Kluyveromyces lactis: one gene and its partner. The protein of the gene in region 1 purifies or fractionates together with the protein of each later gene. This does not show direct contact. Links are inferred from orthologs where the notes say so. Each region holds a gene or a part of one and is shown on either strand. Other genes may lie near its edges.

Region 1 (16,746 bases):
AACCCACAAGACCCCTCTAGGAACAAAAAGAAATAAAATATACCGGTTCCAGTCCTATCTCATTTTTCATACACACACCCAAAACTAGTGGAGAAACTAGAGGAAATCAGCCAGAAACCTTTGATTGTTAATCACGTGCATTACATTTTCTCCTCAAAACTTCCGTTTTCCGGGTGTCGCATTCTTCTGTGTCCGGGTAATATCCTCAACACAGCCGTTCCGGATTTCGATACGGAAAAATTCCAGTTTCGAGGTGCAGTCACTTCGCACGGTGCACCTTGAAAAATGGATTAAGACTCGTCTGGCCTGCTTTCACTGAGCAAAAAGCCTTTTAATATGGTTCAATGACCTGCATTTGTACGGGCAATTCTGAGGGTTGTCATATTTAAGAGCACCCAGATTTCCCATTCTTGTGAGTTTCTGGGTGTCAGTCAGACTTAACAACGACAGGTATCACTAAAGGTTTACAGACGTATATATATATATATATAACCTAGGTATTGTCACATCGCTTGGAGAGTTATAATTGGATTACCATTCTTGTTATCTTGGCTCCTTTGTAGTTTAAAAAGTAAGGCATTTTAGCAACACTTTTGGTGGTATTAATTGACGAAATATTGCTCGAAGACAAGAATTCTGCCATCTAAGTATATATATTATCATCAATGAATTATACCAATTACAACCATAGTGCTAGCATTTCGTCTCGTTCAACACAGACTTCGTCTGTGTTTTCGAACGAAAATGAAGATTACGATGCTAGAATTCGCGAGATCGAAGAGTACTACATCAAGACTCTGTTGAATGATGATGCGGGTGACGATGGATTGTCGAAGCAACAGCAACAACAATTGCAGCCTCAGTTCCAGTACCAGCAGTTACCAAACCTTTTCTCGCGTTCTTCTTTCGGTACTGTTCCTCAATCTCAAAACAAGGAATTAGCCCAATCTCAAGTTGCTCAGCAATATCAGCAGCAGCAGCAGCAGTGGTTCCAAAGACCTATTTTTGAGTACCAGGACCCATGGCCTCAAAAGGTCCATCCTAAGGAACCTTCGTTGGAAGTCGAAATTAACTCTCAATACCGTCCAGCCAACGGTATTATGCCATTGACCAGCGAGAACTTACGCATAATCCAAGAAACTCCAGCTGAACCAGTGGTCCATGCTCAAGCGCAGGCTCCAACTGAACATGTTCACACTGAAAATTGTGGTCATAATCACCCTCAGGTCTCTCAGCAACAACAGCAACAACAGCAGCAGCAGCAGCCAGAAAGGGTTAACAAGCAATTGTACAAGACTGAGCTTTGTGAATCGTTCGCTACCAAGGGAACCTGTAAGTACGGCAACAAGTGTCAATTTGCTCATGGTTTGCACGAGTTGAAAATAAAGGAGCGTTCAAACAACTTTAGGACAAAGCCATGTGTTAACTGGCAAAAATACGGCTACTGTCGTTACGGTAAGCGTTGTTGCTTCAAACACGGTGACGATGAGGATATTCAAGTCTACATGAAAGTTAATATGATTAAGAAAATTGAAGATGAACCTATCAGAAAGAACTTACATGCTGATGTTAAGGCATTGCAAAAGATGACTTGGTGATTTCTCTTTTATCAGTCTTTGCTTCACTTTTTGTTGCTTGATGCAACAAAGAATCATGTAACTGGCATTTCAACTTTATCCTCTCGCAAACGTTAAACTAACCGGCGGTCGCCCCGTATTTTTATCTCACTTTGAATACTGGTTATTTAATTTGATTATTATTTATTTATTATTTTAACTATTTTCCTCATACGTTAGCACGTCTTCCCTTCTTCAATGCGTACACAAGTAATGTCTTAATTTCAGCGCTTCACTGCAGTTTTAATTATTAAGAGCAATAGTGCCTATGCACCAGCATAGGTCTTGTAAGCGTATTTTCATGTGATTCAGAAACAGTATCTACTTATTTCTTGAGGTCGAATTCATGAGCTAACCTCTTGATCGTGTGCAGGAATATTTTGTTCCAATGAATGAAATCCTTGACATCTTTGTCGTCTAAGGCTTCCTTCAAACCTGGTAAGGCAAACCCTTCATAACCAGTATTCTTACCAGATGCAAAGACCACGTGTTTGAACCATGGTCTGCCTTTCAAACCTTCTTCGTGTAGGAAGTTTCTCTCAAGGTAGAACAATTTGAAATTCACGTGTACAATCTGGAAATGCAACTTTATGCGCCTCCACCATGGTAGAGAGTTCTTATCTTCCCATTGTTTGTTTAGATCAGTTAAGTACTCATCAAAATAGTCGGCAGATGATACAAGTTTGTCCAATTTCTTGCTTGTTTTATGGATCAGCTTACTCAATGGGGTACCTCTGTGGTTAGTAATATTTAACCACTGTTCTGGAACGCTTTCTTGGATGTGTTTGTAGTATTTAGTTAACTCAGTTGAGTAGTCCGAGACCTTGGAATTTATTATCTTATCTTCGGATAATCTCAAGGCAATGGTACCAAATAGTTTGGCGACAGCATTGTGTAGCTTGAATCCTGGATCTTGCATGGTAGCCATCCAATGGAACGAATCATAATTCGAATGATAGTGATAGACAGGATCTTTTGCGGTAGCGCTAAATCCAAGATCTAAAGAGGCGATACCCAAATGTTCCAAGAAAACAGTGTAATCGGATCCAGAACCTAAGATGCCAATGTTAGTGTGGTTAAAAAAATGATCATGAAGTGTGACATTTTCTTCTAATGGATATTCAATTAGTGGCAAAGCTTCCTTGATAGCCTTATTTAAGAATGGCGATGAAGCTATCTTTAGTTGTCTACCACCCACGGCCACGTCTACATTCAAATAAGCAAGTAAGTTCTTCTTCAATTCATTGGCATTTTTTTCCCCAAATTCAGTGGACCCAAGCAAAGCGTACTCTTCACCATCCCATGAGGCAAACTTAATAGTCCTTCTTGGTTTCCAGCCATTCTTTGTCAATTCATGAAGAGACCTGGCCATTTCAAGCATAGCAGCAGTACCACTGTTGGGGTCAGAAGCACCACCTTTAATCCATGCATCTCTATGGTTACCAACAAGAATATATCCACTTTTCGAATCATAACCTTCTAATATACCATAGACATTGTGAATCGGAACGATATCATACTTTTGTTCATTGTACAAATTTAAGGAGTATTTTGAGTTCGGACCAGTCCAGTATTCGAAGCCAGGAAGGTTCCCAACCCAGTGGTCACCGCCAATTGAAGAACCTTTCACACCATGACCGTTTAATTTCTCTAATATAGGCTTAACTTCTTTGAAAGAGATGGGCAATGAGGGGATCTTTGGTATCGATTTGTAAGGATCATCACGGACAACATCATCACCCTGAGATGGTCTACCTGGAGTAGTTGGATCACCTGGGAACTGAGACAGGAATTGTACAGATCCACGCTGTAATGAAGATGGGTTTCTAGCTGGTCCCTTTGGATATGGTTTATCACCTTTAGCCTCTTGGAAGAAGTCATCACCAGGGTCGGAATAAATCAAGACACCAACACACCCAGCGTCTTGGGCGAACTTGACCTTTAGACCACGGAAAATTCTGCCATACCTTACGATTGCGATCTTGCCCTTTAATGGAACACCATGCTCTTCCAACAATTCAAAATCTTCCTTGGAGCCGTAATTGACATAAACGAATTCAGCAGTCACATTACCAGATGCAGAGTACCCATGGAAAGCTGGAACCAAATCATCACCCCCAGTAGTTGAATCTTCTGGTAAATGGTCTTCTGTCAAATTAGCCTTGAAAACTGGTTCATCCTCTTGCAATAAAGTTAAACCATTATCCACTGGATAGTTCATGTAAATATCAAAAGCTTCCACTTCTGTCTTTAATCCATACTCTTCGAACTTGGATGCAGTCCAATTCACTAACTCGATACCTTTACCAGCTAAGTGAGGAACTGAAGTCAATTTCTCTGACCAGTTTCCCGCAAGATTGCTGTCGTCTAATGTCTTCAAATAAGCAAGCTCAGTGGCCGTTGCCTGAGACCTATCCCTATGAGAAGATGAAGAAAAGCTATAGCTTAAAATATTAACCAAAAGGTAGCAGAAAAGACCCACTTGGAATGATAATGAAAGAGCTTTCTTAATCCATGTTCTTTTTGAAGGGACAGACTTTTGAGCTTCAATATCGTTCAAATCATGCTTGATGTCCGCAGGATACTCCTCGGGACTCTTGGCCGTCATTTTTTGAAGGTCTAAGTGGTGATGCGATTCCTTAGGTGCTGGCTCTGGCAATAGTTTCCAAATTACCTTCTTCTTCTTATATGTAAGCCGTAACCATTCAACATGGTTGCTGAGTAACGCCGTTTGTTTTTTAGGGTTTTGCTATAATTTCGGGATTTGGCTGCAAAGACAAGCAATATCAAGAAGCAAAAGGGCAATGTAAATACTTAGGGTGGATTAGATAAGGTATTCTGTCGTACTTTGGCATATCATTGGTATTGAAGTTTGTTGAGACCATTTTTTTCCATGTTTCTACTTCTCGTTGAGGACATACCTTATTAGGATAGTATCACCGAGATTTTCTTGTTTGCAGATCAGTTCAATGATCGATAATAGAATGAAAGGAATTAAATTGTCTTCTTTAGCCAATCGATAATCCTAGGCTGCTCAAACTACACTATCTTATATACCTAATATAGGAATCGAAATTGAAACGTATCTGTTAGCAGTGTATCAATTTGCACGCAAAGACCATTTCGAAGTTGATCTTTTCACGTAAGACGAAGAACTAGCCCTTCTTGTTGAAGATAACCTTCTGGTTGCAGTTTGAGAACTTTCTCCTGGCAACTGGTAGATAGTATTTGAATCAACATTGTTGTCGTCTCTAAGCATGTCATCTAAGTTAATCCCGTCAAGATTTCTTTGAAGTAGGTAACGTAGAGAATTGAACCAAATATTATGTCTTTGTCTGGTAGCACATGTCAACTTAATATCACGGCCTTCTGTTTTCACGATGATACTTTTTTGGTACAAACCAGCGGGGAAAGGACATGGATCGTCGACGCTCTCTACACCCATAATAGCTGCCGCTCTGGTTTTGTTGTTCCCTGGGTTCTCAAGCACAGGATTGGACGTAGACCAATACAAGGTTAAAGTGTAAGGATGAACCCAGAAGTATCTTTCATGACGTGAAGATTGGAACAGAGATCCACCTAAACGACGATAGTACTTGTGCAAGTATTCACCAATCATAGTTTGGGTCAATGCTGGGATGATACTTGGAGCGCTGAGGGACGCCATTGTAGCTAAAGATAAACCAGTAGCCATAGACTCGCTGTGTGTAAGCAGTGATGCTTGATTAGTTTGAAGTGAAGGCGACGGACGTTTGATTGAAGAAGATCTTGATGGGGCTCTGGATCTGGTCTGTTGCTCCATTTCGCTCATTGCAGCATTAGCAGCAGCTTCTGACATGGATCTTCTAGCATCCTCTGAAATGACAGACCGAGTCGCCAATGAAGAATTTCTTCTATGCCCCTGAGTAAAGCCATCGCCAAAGTCCTTTCTCAAATTAACGACAACTTGGAAACCACGCTTCTTGGCTTCCGCTTGCAAATTCTCATCAGTAATCTTCGCCCAATTTTCAGACTCTTGATGTAATAGAGAATTATAATATTTGATCGGCAACACAACAACATTATGGACATCTGGAGTATTTGCATTGGATGTGGCGACAAATGCGCTTTCTGGAATACATAGTAAGCCAAATCTCTTAGCAGCTTTGTTTAATTGTTTTATCTCAGAGTCAACGACCTCTGCGTCTTCTTCTTCCTCTTCATCTTCTTCAGAATCAGTGTCATTGTCGTTATCCATCAAATACGAACCCTTCTTCAAACGTTTGTACTCCGTTAAATCTAAAGCTATCAAATTGAAATCAGCGGCATGCTCAACTATTTGTTCCCTGGTCAAGGTTGGCGTCTCCAATTCTTTCTTAATCTGTTCAAACTGCTCAATAGGAATGGGAACAAGACCAAGATCTCGTGCGCGTATCATGAGATCGTCTTTAGAAATACCAATCGCGGTATTTGGATCATACTGGGACACTGGGATAGGCACAAATCCTAATTCTTTAGCTTTCAAAACAACGTCGTCCTCCGTCATACTGTTTCTGCCGGAGGAAGCTAATTCGCGTTGTATTTCTTCAAATTTGTCAGCATCAATCGGTATAATGTTGAGCTCATGGGCTCTTTCTATCAACTCATCCCTAGTCATTGCAACAGAAGCCGCTTGATCCTCGACTTCCAACAGATGGTCATATTCGTCTTTCGAGACAATAACTTTCCCATGTTCTTTCGCCCATTCACTGACAGAGTCATCGTTGAACTTGTTCAAAAGGTCTTCATATATGTCTTTTTCTATAGGAACTAAACCCCAATCTTCACATTTCTGTTTTATGTCTGTAACTGTCAACGGTTTTTTGAGGGCACTGTATTCTAAAACTGGTAGCGTGACGAGTTCTAGTTCTTTGGCCCTTGCTTCCAGTAGCTCGCGAGTCAAAGGCTTTTTAATTTCCTTGTAGTCTTCTTCGGCTAATGTGACAATACCCAGCTTTGACGCTTTTTCCTTGATATCATCAGCACTATCAGGTTTGATAAGCTTCAGGTAGTCATTTGTTGCTACTGGTACGAGGCCATGTTCTCTAGCTTTCTGTTTAATTGTTTCTGTTGAGATTATTGGAGCTGGCGCGATCAATTGAGTAGATTTTTTAACAAGTTGAGAATGTTCAGCTTCAGTTAAAACTATTAAGCCATACTTCTTCGCACTCTCACGAATAGAATCTGGTGTTAACCTCTCTGAAGTGATAAGTTTCTCCATCTCTATAAATTCCTCAGTTGGCACCACAGATAATCCGAATTGCGGTGCAGCAGAGTAAATGATATCCTTTGTCAAATCTTCAGGTGTCAATGATGTAGAGTAATGATTTTGATGACAATCGATATCCTTTTCAATAAGGTTGTAACCTAAAACTTCTGCATGTCTTTGCAAGTCCTCCAATGTCGGTTCATTATCTTTTATCGTTGATGCCAGTGAAACATTATCATTATCAGAACCAAGGAAATCATTGGCATCGGTATAATGAGTGGAAGATGTATGCATGCTTGACTTCGAAGGGCTGTTTCTGAGGTTGAAGGAGCTGCTACTTTGTAGCGCATCATAATAATCAGTGTCACCTGTGCTTACAGAATTGAAACTAACAGTGGAATGGTTCACAGAGGGATGGAGATTTAATGCAGGCCTAGAGCCATAATCGCCGACACGTTGATTATTATGTTTCTCGAGTTCTTCATCTGTGAAATTAACAGGGACCAACTTCAAAGCAAAACGTGAAGCATACAACTGTAAATCGTCATATGTAATATTATCACTATGCGCCTTTCTTTGTAATAAGTTATTATATTCTTCGGAGGGAAGAACAGTGAGATCAAAGGCTTTTGCCCCATTATAAATATCCGTCTTTGTTAATTCGTGCTTTTGTTGATTCTCGAGAAGCCTTTTGTACTCATCGTTTGAAAGTCTTACAAATCCTAATAACTTTCCTGATTCTAATACCACCTCTTTATTTGAATTCTCTTTCTTGATAACATTTTCGAAATATAGCTTGCTTGCTGCGACTTTCGATCTTGGTGACATTGAAGAAACTTCAACCTCTTTTTTCAGTTTTTCAATAAGAGCATCGTATGATTCTTCACTAAGAACAACAAGACCCAATTTCGCTGCAAGTTTTTCAATATCAATTTTGGTGAGAGAAGAGAGTTTTTTGGCCTCGTTTTGTAAATTCTCATATTCCTTGTCACCCAGGAGCTTGTACCCGTATTTTGGCGCGGTCGCTACAACTGATTCTTCAGATGGATTATCAACTTGGGTCTTCAAGAAAGCCAATTCCTCACGGTCAATAACAGTTAGCGCTAATGGTTCGACTAGCTGTTTTACTTTCTCTATCGAAGGAACTGTTAACTCCTTATAGTGTTTTTCAGGTAGAGGAATCAAATCGAACTTTGAACACAGACCTATCACCTCCTGTTTGGAAATTGAATCAACATTTGAGGAATTGAGACTTTTGTAGGTCTCAGCATCAAGTACCACATGACCTTTTTCTGTTATTTGCTTTTGTAGGATGTGCAGGGAAGGATTGGACAAAGAATCATAATCAGCTTCCGGAACAACTACAAGTCCGAGACTTCTCGCACTTCTCTGTAAACCCTGCTCGTCAGTAACTGCTGACATTTGTAACTTATTATGTTCTTCAATCGGTAGTAAAACTTGTTTGTGTTGCTGCGCTTTTTCTTGCAAGAATTCTAAAGATGGACTAGTCAAGTTAAGTTGAAGTTCATTGAACTTTTTCGTGGGAACTACGCTATACCCATTGATGTCGCAAACCTCCTTTGATCTTTTGATTGAAGGGTTATTGATTGCGAGCTGTAGCTCTTCGTACTCGACAGTTGGTAGAACCTTGCATTCAATTCTAGCAGCCAGTTGTTCCACTTCTTTCACCGTAGGTTCGTTTGTTTTTCTTTGCAAATTGTCATATTTCTGTTGATCGATCAAACGTTTGCCAATATTGCTTGCCCTATTTGATAAGTGTGCAATAGAAGGATTTTCATATGAGGTCTTGAGCTCTTCAATAGATTCAATTGGTAACAGGGCGAGTCCAAGAGTTCCAGCCATGTTTTCTAAATATTCTCTAGATGGGTGCTCTAATTTCGATTTCAAGCCCTCCAGTTCATCGAATGGTAACATAGTTTGATGATGAAGTTTAGCCTTCTCCTTCAAAAACGTCAATGAGGGAGAGTCTTTCATAGCCATTAGATTTTCATATTCGTTCAGCTGTACGGGAACCATTTTATAGGTTGAGAGGTGTCTGGATAAATCTTTTAGTTGTGGATTGTTTGATTTGTTTATCAAATCTTCGTAAGACTTACTATCTAAGACCACATGACCATGTTCCTTGACTTTCTTAATCAATTCATCCTCTGAAAGTAGTGCAACTTTCGAGCTTTCCTGTAATTTCTGGTATGCTTCAGCAGCAACAGGCTTTAGATTGTATTTGTCACAGAGTTTAAAAGTTTCATCTTTAGTTACTTTATCTATAACGGGAGCCATTAATTTTGAGTATCCTTCTTTTGAAACTGCAACGTAACCCAATGTTTCCAATCTGTTAGTTAATTGGTCGATGTCAACATTGTCGATTGACTTTTGTTTAAAGGAATTGAAATCTGGCGCAGTGACTGGAACAAATCCAAAATTCTTAATAGATTCGAGTAACATTGTTTTATCACTGCCCTTATGAACTAACTTTTCATACTCTTTCTGTTCGATAGTAACCATACCGATATCCTTTGCCTTTTCAATGATGAAGTTTCTTGATGGTTCATTTACGGTCTTATTCAAATAATCGTAGTCACTCTGCGATACAATCAAGTGGCCAGTTACAGCTGCCAAGTGCTGCATTTCTTGGATGGTCGGGTCTGATGACTTTCTCAAAAGCTCTGAGTGGTCAGTCTTTAGGATTATATCATAGTTTTTCTCTGCTGCCTTTTCCGATAAAAAGTTCAAAGTTGGAGATTCTAGCTGTTCCTTCAACTTATGAAGGTCCTCCTGTTTGATAATAGTATAATTGAGAGCTAGTAGTTTATCTTTCAGGTGTTCAAAGGGAGGATTTTGAGCTAAGTTTCTTAGGTTCTCTATTTCAGCTTGACTGAGCAAGGTGTAATCTAAAGCTTTGGCAGCTTTCTTTAGATGATCCAGTGGAGGAGTATTAGCTAGTTCTGTTAATTTGTGATACTCAGTGGTGCGTATAGGTGTTATGGACTTTCTTTCCGCCAACCACAGCAATAAAGACTCCATATCGTCACTAGAAAGCGATGATTGAATAGCTTCAATTGAAGGATGAGTGTTTCCATGCATTAGTCTGGTGTGCTCCTCATTTGGAAGAAGAACATGATCTTTTGACTTAGCACATTCTTTCAACCTATTAATATCTGGACTTTCAGCTTTGCATTTCAGATCAATTAGATCCTTATCAGGTATTACCGAGAGTTTGTGATTTGCAGCAATTTTTTCCACTTTATCGATAGAAGGATTCAGTAGCTCATGGTAATCTTTGTTAGATATTAAAATATGGTCGTGAGTGGTAGCTAACTGTTGGACGTCTTCGATACTTGGTTCAGTGAGTTGGGACAATTTACTCTTCGTTAGTACAGTTAATCCTTTTGCATCTGCTTTGGCCTGCAAATATTCTTCAGACGGGCTTTCCAATTTAGCTTTTATATCAGTCAATTGTGACTGTTTCAATACCTGAAGTCCTCTGGACTGGGCATGGTTTGTTAATGCCTCAACATCCGGTTTCCTCAAATTTTCATACTCATCAATGTCGATAATGGTTTTTTGAAGCTTGTGAGCCTTACTCTCGAGATATGACAGGGACGGACTTTCGGAAGCATGAAGCAAATTCTCATAGTCCTTTTTACTTAACGCAGTGTAGTCTTTACTTTCTAATGATTTTTTCAAAGTTTCCATCGATGGATCATTCAATGATTGGTACTCTTCTTCTTTGATAGCAGTGAGGTTGAGCCTCTTCAGATTCGAAACTAGATAATCCTCAGTGGGATGCTTAAAAATCTCTTCTATATCCACTTTCTCATTATTTGTTAAACTAGAAGTATCAAAATACCCTAGCGTAGAAAGTCTGGAAAGAATATGCTTTGATAATGTGTCATCTGAGATTGTGCTAGGAGTTTTCGATTTTTTTAATTCATCTAGTTCAGTAATTGGGACAAGTGCGAAATTGTGCGTTTTTGCGTATCTTTCTATATCTTCATAGTCAAGTTCATTAATAAAGTCTTCATCATGTTCAAAGGGGCCCTCCGAAATGGGGTCTCTCACATAGTCCATAGTTTCCGAAACAAAACTTTCAGCGTCAATATCACTGATATCAGCATTACTTGACTTGCCAGGCGATGGTATTACATTCCAGTCACCTGATTCATTATCTGTAACTTCGTAATTGAAGCTGGAAGTATTGGACTTTTGAGGAGTAGAAGCAGATCCTATAAAAGATAAACCGCCTTTATTCTTACCTCTGGGAGACTTTGAAGGTAATGGAGAGTTCATGGTGCTGTCAGCCTTGACTCTGTTGAGCTTCTGCTTTAATCTTACAATTAACTGATTAGCATGATTTAAGTTGGCTTTTAAGGTCTGATTTTCTAGATTTGAATCAATCGGTTTCTTCAAGGAACTATCATCGGAACCCTCCATACCTCCTCCGATCAGTTTTACGGCAGGTGATGGTTTTTGTTCTGATGTAGCAATCGCAGTATCGTCTTTGCCCTGTGCAGAGGTGCCTTTCCTCTCTTCTATTTCTTTTGTTAATGAAGTGACCTTCTCACTCAACATGTTAACTTTATTATGCAGCTGATCATTCTCATTGTTCAACTCTTCCACATGTCTTTTCAGCTCCTTAATTTCATTCGAATGAACTTTTTTACTAGAAGCCAATTCGGACTTTAATCCCATACGTTCCAAAGAACTTTCCTCCAGTTCAGTTTTCATATCCTTAGAAAGCTCAATCTGCCTTTCAAGTTCACTTTTATTTTTATTGAAGTTTTCAGTCAACTCTTGGAACTCCTTAGATAAACTTTGCAATTTCATTTCTTGTCGCCAATTAGTGTCCTTTAAAGAATCCTCATTTTTGGTCATAGATTCATGCTTCACTGTTAACCGCTCAAGATTTATTTTCAACTTTTCATAGTCGGCCTGCAAAGAGGATAATTTGGCGGACTTACGTTCGTTCTGTGCTTGTAAGCGTCTGCATTCGACGAGTAAGTTCTCGCTTAAACCAACAACAAAGTTCACATCCTCGCCTGAATTGGCATTTATGACACCTGCATGAGCAGAGCTTCCTGCAAAAACAGGTAACGAAGCCCTATTATCTCTCTTACTCAAGACATTGGAAAATGGTAAACTGGGGTCCTCAGAATTAACATGAGAAAGAGCTTCTTGATGTTTTTGTTGTTCCTGCAACCTGTTCAATTTAAACTTCAATTCATCTCGGCTGGACCGTTTATCAGACTGCGAAGATCCCTTTCCTGACATATTTCCTGGGATTTTACTGTCGCTTCTGGGGCGCACTTCTCCAAATTGCCCGAAATCACTCAATTGTTGCCGTTCTGAATAAAAACCGAAGGACAGTGCTAAAGTTTAAGGACTTCAGTGCTATATGCTTCAAAGATTACTGAGCGTAGATTCCAATTTCCTTTTCGATTATGTTTTGTTTGTTTTGTTTATAGAATCGTTCGATCTGAAAGAAACTGACAATTTTTGATGAGCTGTTTTGACTGCATAACGTTACCCGGATTTCTCAATAAACAATGCAGCTATTGACTCGCCTTGTCTTGCTTTGATAGAGCCTTGCTCACATTCGGTATATGTTTTGAATAGGCAGTCAGACCAATGTATTCATTGAGAGTCTATTATGTTCCTTTGACGCCATGTATTTGGGCTTCTATTGAAAAAAAAATGCTGATAATTATACACATGGATGCTAACATACTATGGAGACAATGATGGCGACTGCAGTTGGGATAATGATTGTGAGAGCAACCGTGATTGAGATTGAGATTGGCTTTGTGACAACAAGGGGTTCTCAGTATCATTTCTGAATACAATCCCGTTTAAATCTGCCCAATTTTTGATAAAACTATCGTCGATTAGTTCAGTGAATGAGTTCAAGGATACTAGCCATTCTTTCAACTGTTCGTAACGAATAGGCTCAAAAGTGTATATTTGTTCCATTAATAATGCAGATTCATCACGATTTTGTACTATAAGGTCCGTGAGGAATTGCTTGAGTTGAATTGATCTATCCTCATCTGAGGACCCCGGGAATTTGGATTCCAATGTCTCCCATACTTGCAACATCTGAACTTTGTTCTTACAAGGTTTTAATCCGATCACCTTGAAAGACCTTCGTAGCTTCGCGGTGTTCGGAGATGCATTTTGTGTTGTGAGTAGGGCAGGCTGAAGTTGTGAATCTAGAGAATCTGTGGCTGAAACTGGGGTTTTCAATTTTTGAGATTGAGATTTCCGTAGAGAGGGGAACTGGCCAAGATGAGTTTGAGGAGCATCATGAACCTCCATAATGGAATAGCTACCTCTTTCATCTTCGCTATCTATAACAATTTCGTTATTATCATCATGCAACATAGAAGTAGTTAAAGTAGACAAACTTTCTTGCTCTTGCGTATCTACCTCCCCCTTAACACTGGCGAAAACGTCATTAGAGTCCCTATTGCTATCAACATATATCTTGACGACATTAGCAGGTTTTGAAGCTTGTTGCTGATTCTGTTGTTGTTGGTCTTGAAAGGTAGTAGTTCTCGTTGCGGGCACCTGAATAGTCCCGGTTCTTTGGGCCTTCATTGGAGATACGATGGAGGACACTACATCGTAAGACGTTTGTGATATGTTTATCAGTTGATCGTTTATGTTTGCCCTGGAATATTCCCTTTTCGTTTTCTCACCAGTGGGTAAAGTCTTGGAATCTGGTGGTAAATAGCATGGTATATCGTAATCGACGTCTGCCTTGTTCTTGTCTTGAATCATGAAACTCAGCTCTTCAAAGCTAATGATAGACCCGCTATCGCATGAATCGGCTATCTGAGACGGTACATCCGTCTCAGATGAAGGCACGTCTATGCTAATTGGTAGTTCCTGTTCGATGACAGAGCTTGGGTTCGAGATCGGTTTGAACCTCAATCCATCTTCCGTTGAGCACCGGTTATTACTGCTTTCTCCTTCGACAAGTTGAGACAACGTATACACAGGCGCATTGTTATCCAACGTTAAACTTGGAAGAATAGTCTCAGACTCTCCATCTGAGCACTGAGAAGATATCTGCTTTTCTGGGGATAACTGAGACGCTTTCCAAAGATTGTGCTGTTCATCAGCACCGTATACGTATTGCTGTACCGAGTTTAGCTCGCTTCTAGAAACTTTTGGTAATTTTTCTCGTAGGAGGCCAACGATATGTTGCCATTCTGATTCATTAAAGGGCGCAAATTGTGTCGGATGAGAATCCTGTAAACTTTCCGCATCTGCAGATGCCTCCGAGTCCAATTTCGACACCAATTTTTTAACCTTGGCAGATTTACCCGAAAGAATCGAAATCATCTTCTGAGCCCTATCCTTCACTCTATTTGATTCCCAATTATCTGTATTGAACTGGGTAATACTCTTGATTCTTTTCTGCAATCGTGCTGTCGGCTGCTTGACCTTTGAGGATTTTATCACTTTCTTGACTGGCACTTTTTTGGAAGACACCAGTGGAATATCCGCTTGATCTTGTGTTTCCAGCGCAAATCTTGACAGAACATTGCGGAAGGTGTGCACCACAGTCTCCTGGTGGTTCAGTTCATCTATGGCACCTTGGACTTGAGTAGAGATCAGAATATCATCATCACCTTCCTCCGGTGGAATCTCAGTCTCCTGCTCCTCATCTTGATCCTCATCATCGCTGAACATAGTAGGAACCTGAGTCATGCAAATATCACCCTGTTCCACTGAATCTTCAGACAAATGATCGTTCACCATCAGCAAATGCCTACCAGCTTTTTCCAACTCATCATGCATCAGGAAAGAGAGGTTTGCTATTGAATTCTCTGTCTATATCTTACAAGTATACCAGTCACCTGGTATATCAGCAGTCCTTTCCAATTGACGCACCGCAAGGCCACTCATAAACATACGTTGGTACAGTAACACACTAACACGTACTATATATATAGAGAGAGAGAGAAATAGAGAGAAATAGAGTTTGGGATACATAATGATAAATGCCAGCATGATTCCAAATCAAGAATAGTAAATACAATTATAGAGATGAACCTCAAATTGCATAGAAGCAGTGAGAAATCGAGAAAACGCGATATTTTTTCATGCATTGCACGAAATAAAACAGGGTTAGTCGGGGTAATACGAATGTAATACGAACGTACTCTACACGTGACTTGTTATTACTTATTCCTTATTCCCGGAACTCTTCTTACTTTTTATGGCCTCAGTTCGACTCCCGGAGCGACCCCTTCGGTGCAATTAAATCCAATCCTCCCGTCCTTCATCACTCACTCTTAACGATCCGGACCGGATTATTTAGTCTTTCTTTGTGCTCTCTGCTCTTCTGTTCTGGTCGGCGCCGAGTCTCCGTCATATCACTTCATACGAGCTGGTATTCCGGTAATTGGCTCCGCCAAAGGGCCCTATTTTCCAAGTTTTTTGAGTAAGCACATTTTAATTACCTACTGTATGCACTTTCGCCATTATTATATATATATTATATATATAATAATGATAATAAAGTTCAATTCTTTGAAAGGTTGCCTTTAAACATTGAATGTTTAACCCCAGGATTTATAAAACGGTCCGTTTTTGAGCTAATTTTGACTACAGTTTGAATTAAATAGAAAGACAGATACTTTTTTCTGATTCCTGTTGAGAAAATAAGGAACCTTTTTGAATTCGTACCAAATTTTTCCTTCTTTCTTTCTTTTGAATCATAATCATCATAAATTATCACATTTGATAATTTTGTTTCTAAACCAAATATAGAGCAAAGGTATTCAAGTCAGTTGAATCCATTTACTCTTCAGAAATAACATTCGGAAATATACTCAGGTCTCGGAGTGTATCTACAAACACAGATTATAATATAATATATTATCCTTTTTCACTTTTGGTTTTGTCCCATTCCAACAATGTTAAGGAGTTCTACTAGAGTTGCAGTTAAATCTGCTTTGCACAAGCCTTTGGTTCGTTGTGCTACTGTTTCACAATTAGAAGCGGTTAGAAGTTTTAGTTCAAGCCGAATTTCTTCCGATATCTCTTCAAGAAATGGATCTTTTAACGCCGTGAGTCGTCGTTCTTCTGGTCCATTCCAATTCCGTTGTTCCCCTTCTCAGTTGAACACTAGATTCATGGCAGTTCGTCATGCTACTTCTGTGCCGGTTCCTCCTATGGCTGAATCGTTGACTGAAGGTTCTTTGAAGGAATACACTAAGAAAGTCGGAGATTTCATCGAAAAGGACGAACTGTTGGCTACTATCGAAACCGATAAGATCGACGTCGAAGTCATTTCTCCTATCTCCGGTACCATTGCGAAGTTGAACTTCTCTCCAGATGATACTGTTACCGTTGGTGAAGAGATTGCTCAAATTGAGCCAGGTGAAGCTCCTGCTGGCGGTGCTGCCGCTTCAGAGTCCTCTTCCGCTTCTGCACCTGCTGCTGAAGAACAGCAACAACAGGCTGCTCCTAAGAAGGAAGAGCAACCAGCCACTCCAAAGAAGGAAGAAAAGGCCGCTGCTCCAGCTCCAAAGAAGGAGGAAAAACCAGCCGCTGCTGCTCCAAAGAAGACTGAAGTTGACTCATCTGCTACTGAATCCTCTACCCCATCTTTCACTCAATTCTCCCGTAACGAACATAAGGTCAAGATGAACCGTATGAGAATGAGAATCGCTGAAAGATTAAAGGAATCTCAAAACACTGCTGCTTCTTTGACCACTTTCAACGAAGTTGACATGTCCGCTGTCTTGGAAATGAGAAAATTATACAAAGATGAAATCATCAAGACTAAGAACGTTAAATTCGGTTTCATGGGTCTTTTCTCTAAGGCTTGTACTTTGGCCGCTAAGGATATTCCAGCTGTAAATGGTGCTA
Region 2 (4,208 bases), on another chromosome or scaffold:
CCCACACCGTCTTCTTACCAGTCAGCTCATCGATGGTAATGATGTTTCCTAGTTCCATAGGTAGATATTCTTTTAGGAAATTCTTAAACTTCCCATGCTGTGAGTTGTTCACAAAACATATACCCTGAGAGTCGGGTTTTGTGGCAGTGTGTAAATCTACTTCTTTGGCCATCTCTCTAACTTCCGGTTTCGTCAAGTGACCAATTGGTAAAATCATTTGATTTAAAGAAGGAACAGAAACTTGTGATAAATAATAACTTTGATCCTTCTGTTGATACAATCCGCGCATCAAGTGTGGTTCAGATCTCTCTGGACCACTATCTCTTCGTAGTATTCGAGCATAATGTCCCATCACCAACCAGTAGTTGTTCTTACCGAACTTCACATCCAGATGATCCATCAACTTTCCGAATTTAACAAACTGATTGCAACCGATGTCAGGATTTGGTGTATAGCCCATACTATATTGTTCTAACATAGGCGCGAACACATTTAGCCAATAATCTTTCTCAAAATTCACAAACTCCACTGGGATGTTCAAATGTTTCGCTACTTTTTCTGCATCCTTCCATTCTTTCTCATAACATGGATCCTCCTCTGGTCTAGTCAATGATTGATCTTTGCCCCAATTTTGCATATATACTCCATGAACGTTCGGGTAAGCTGCGAATAATGCAGCACATACAGAAGAATCTACTCCACCAGACATTCCTACCACAATATTATCAAATTTAGATGGCATGGATTGGACATGATATCCAGGCAACCGTCTTTGTTTGCATAATTCTAAGAATCTTGAAGTGATTTTCGACATTATTCCTCGCAACTTCTGTCCGTCTGCTATATAAAGTGGTGCATCTCCTTCGGGACACTTTTATGGTGCTTTAACAAGATATAGCTGGTACTTATTTCAGTAAACCTTGAGAAGTTATAGTTGTGATCTTCATGTACTTTTTTTTGTCAGATACTGAATTGATTGGCTTGCATAGAAAAAAAAAAACCAAGATAATGTACAGAGGCGAAATTCAGGGAAACAAGTTGAAATAGTTATAGTAAAATTTTAGAGTATGACGTTCTATTTACTTGAGTTTGGTAATATTCGTGACACATAATGTTGAAGTTTTTGTTTTAGGTCACTTGATCTTCTTGGTTTCACACAAAGCGTCAGTTTGATGTTTAATTCTGTTTATGCCGGTCTTGAAAACTATTTCTTTTTCCTTATGAAAATTTTGAAAATACATCACTTTCCAAATAAGAGATGCGATGAGATGAGATGAGATGAGATAGTAACTCATTAATATCAGTAGTGCTAAATATTCTTTTATATCGTATTGATTATAAGGCCAATCATTGTTTGCCATAAATCAACTGTTAGATATCGAACTCAGGTTAATCAAATTTAACAGTAATGGTTGATTCTAGCAAAAGAGCTCTCCCAGCAGAAGATTACTCCTCCGAAGATGAGGATGCTTTCGACATTGCTGGTGATATTGCTTTAAATGCTGATAGTGAAGATAGTGACATTTCTGATGATGATAATGACAATATTGGTTTCCAAGCTGAAGTTCAAGATGTTATCGAGTTTTCTAGTGATGAGGAAGAGAAAGAGAAGAAACCAAAGAAACAAAACAAGAAAGCCAAAGTCAAGGCAGGTCCCATTGTGGACAGTAAGTTCCCAAGTCTTGAGCTTTCGGACGACGAAAAGAAGGCTACGAATGAATCGGATGATGACTTAAACGATTATTTCAACACTACCGCTGATGCTGCGGCTAAACATAAGAAAGGTTCGTTTGCAAGTTTCGGTCTCTCAAAACTAGTATTGATTAATATCTCGAAGAAAGGTTTCAGGCAACCTACACCAATTCAAAGGAAAACCATTCCCCTTATTTTACAAAAGCGTGATATTGTCGGTATGGCACGTACCGGTTCAGGTAAGACTGCTGCTTTTGTGCTTCCTATGATAGAAAAATTAAAGACCCATTCGGCCAAGATTGGTGTTAGAGCCGTTATTTTATCACCATCAAGAGAATTGGCCATTCAAACTCATAGAGTTTTCAAAGAGTTTTCGAAAGGCTCGGATTTACGTTCTATTTTGTTAACAGGTGGTGACTCTTTAGAAGACCAATTCGGTATGATGATGGGGAATCCTGACGTCGTCATTGCTACGCCAGGTAGATTCTTGCATTTAAAAGTTGAAATGAACTTGGATTTGAAATCAGTCGAATATGTTGTATTTGATGAAGCTGATAGATTATTCGAAATGGGTTTCCAGGAACAACTGAATGAACTGCTTGTGGCATTCCCAACTAATAGACAAACATTATTGTTTTCGGCAACATTGCCATCATCATTGGTTGATTTTGCTAAGGCAGGCTTGTCAAACCCAGTATTGGTTAGACTTGATGCTGAAACGAAGATATCAGAAAATTTGGAGATGTTATTTATATCTATAAAAAAGGATGAACGTGAAGCCAATCTATTATATCTGTTACAAGAAGCTATCAAGATGCCTGTTGCCACGGAGTCCCAAATAAAGAAGCTCAAACAGCAGAATGATGCGGATTCTGACAGTGATGACAGCGAAGATGAAAAGAAAAAGAAGGCAAAGAAGGCTAAAAAATCCAAAAGGCGCTTACCGAATGCGAACGAAATGCCATCCGAAAAGGCAACAATCGTTTTCGTTCCAACAAGACATCATGTCGAATACGTCACACAGTTATTGAAGAACTGTGGATACCTAGTATCATATATTTATGGTGCTTTGAATCAACATGCCCGTAAGCAACAGCTCTATAATTTTAGAGCTGGTTTAACATCTATCTTGGTTGTGACAGATGTGGCAGCCAGAGGTGTTGACATTCCTTTGTTAGCGAATGTGATTAATTACTCTTTGCCAGGTTCTTCAAAAATTTTCATTCATCGTGTAGGTAGAACGGCCAGAGCTGGTAATAGAGGTTGGGCCTTTTCGATTGTCTCTGAAAATGAACTACCTTATCTCTTGGATCTAGAATTATTCTTGGGTAAGAAGATCCTTTTAACACCCATGTATGAATCGTCGTGCCAGATACTCAGAAAGAAGGCAGAATCTGAGGGTAATAATAATTTCACCGATCCTAAGGTTTCTTACACCACAAGAATGGTCCTTGGTGCTTGTCCACGTTCTGAGATTGATGGTATGGGTGACCTTTATAGCAATATGATCAAATCTGACTTTGAGTTAAATACTGTGAAAGGTGTTGCCCTGAAAGCCGAAAAACTTTACTTTAGAACCAGGACACCAGCGTCTGCTGAATCCATGAAAAGGTCAAAGGAAATTCTCAGATCAGGATGGGACGAACAGAATATATACTTCGGTAAGAACGCCGAAAAAGAGAAATTGGATTTCTTAGCTAAGTTGCAACACAGAAATAACAAGGAAACTGTATTCGAGTTCGCAAGGAATCCAGACGATGAAATGTCTGTGTTAATGAAGAGAAGGAGGAGACAAATAGCTCCAATTCAAAGGAAGGCAAAAGAAAGACAAGAACTTCTGGAAAAAGAGAGAATGATTGGTTTGAGGCATAGTATAGAAGATGAAATTTTGAAAGGTGAAGACAACGAAGTTGGTTACTCAGTGCCTGATGAGGTATTGAAAGAATTTGAAGATGCCGATGTCTTGTTAGAAGAGCAAGAAAATATTAAGAAGAAGCAGAAGAAAACTTTCAGAGATCCAACTTTTTATCTATCACATTTCGCACCAACTAGTGACATTCAAGATAAACAATTACAGATATCATCTGGTTTCACAAATGATGCTTCCAATGCTGCATTTGATCTAGCCAACGATGACAAGGTACAAGTTCACAAGCAAACAGCTACGGTTAAGTGGGACAAGAAGCGTAAGAAATATGTGAACACTCAAGGTTTGGACAACAAAAAGTACATCATCGGAGAAAGTGGTCAAAAGATTCCTGCAAGTTTCAGATCCGGAAAATTCCAAGATTGGTCTAAGGCAAGAAAAATTGCTCCACTCAAAGTTGGTGCAAGAGAATCCACTATTCCATCGAATCTATTGGCTGATCCGACTTCTCCATCGGAGCGTACGGTTGGCGGTAAATTCAAACACAAGACTCAAAAAGCTCCTAAATTGCCTGATAAACATAGAGACGATTACGCTTTCCAAAAGAAAAAAGTGGAAGCTGCTTTGGAAAGAGGTGTTAGAGTTAAGG

What was found.
Region 2: the proteins of NUM1 (region 1) and DBP10 purify together in Saccharomyces cerevisiae (affinity purification with mass spectrometry; 3 studies listed by BioGRID, with this or other methods). This does not show direct contact. The link is inferred for Kluyveromyces lactis from reciprocal best matches to the Saccharomyces cerevisiae genes NUM1 and DBP10.

What each region holds. Positions count from the first base shown.
Region 1 is NC_006040.1:1,395,299-1,412,044, reverse strand, and holds NUM1 (Num1p), read right to left. Parts: upstream 12,133-16,746; coding exon 4,717-12,132; downstream 1-4,716. Other genes in the region: putative mRNA-binding protein CTH1, read left to right, coding at 666-1,598; KLLA0_D16588g (M28 family metallopeptidase), read right to left, coding at 1,942-4,224; SLX4 (Slx4p), read right to left, coding at 12,589-14,667; KGD2 (dihydrolipoyl transsuccinylase), read left to right, coding at 15,789-16,746. UniProt on the Saccharomyces cerevisiae protein: Controls nuclear migration. NUM1 specifically controls the interaction of the bud neck cytoskeleton with the pre-divisional G2 nucleus. Functions in dynein-anchoring.
Region 2 is NC_006042.1:2,294,830-2,299,037, reverse strand, and holds the start of DBP10 (ATP-dependent RNA helicase DBP10), read left to right. Parts: upstream 1-1,408; coding exon 1,409-4,208. Other genes in the region: SLM3 (tRNA-5-taurinomethyluridine 2-sulfurtransferase), read right to left, coding at 1-814. UniProt on the Saccharomyces cerevisiae protein: ATP-binding RNA helicase involved in the biogenesis of 60S ribosomal subunits and is required for the normal formation of 25S and 5.8S rRNAs.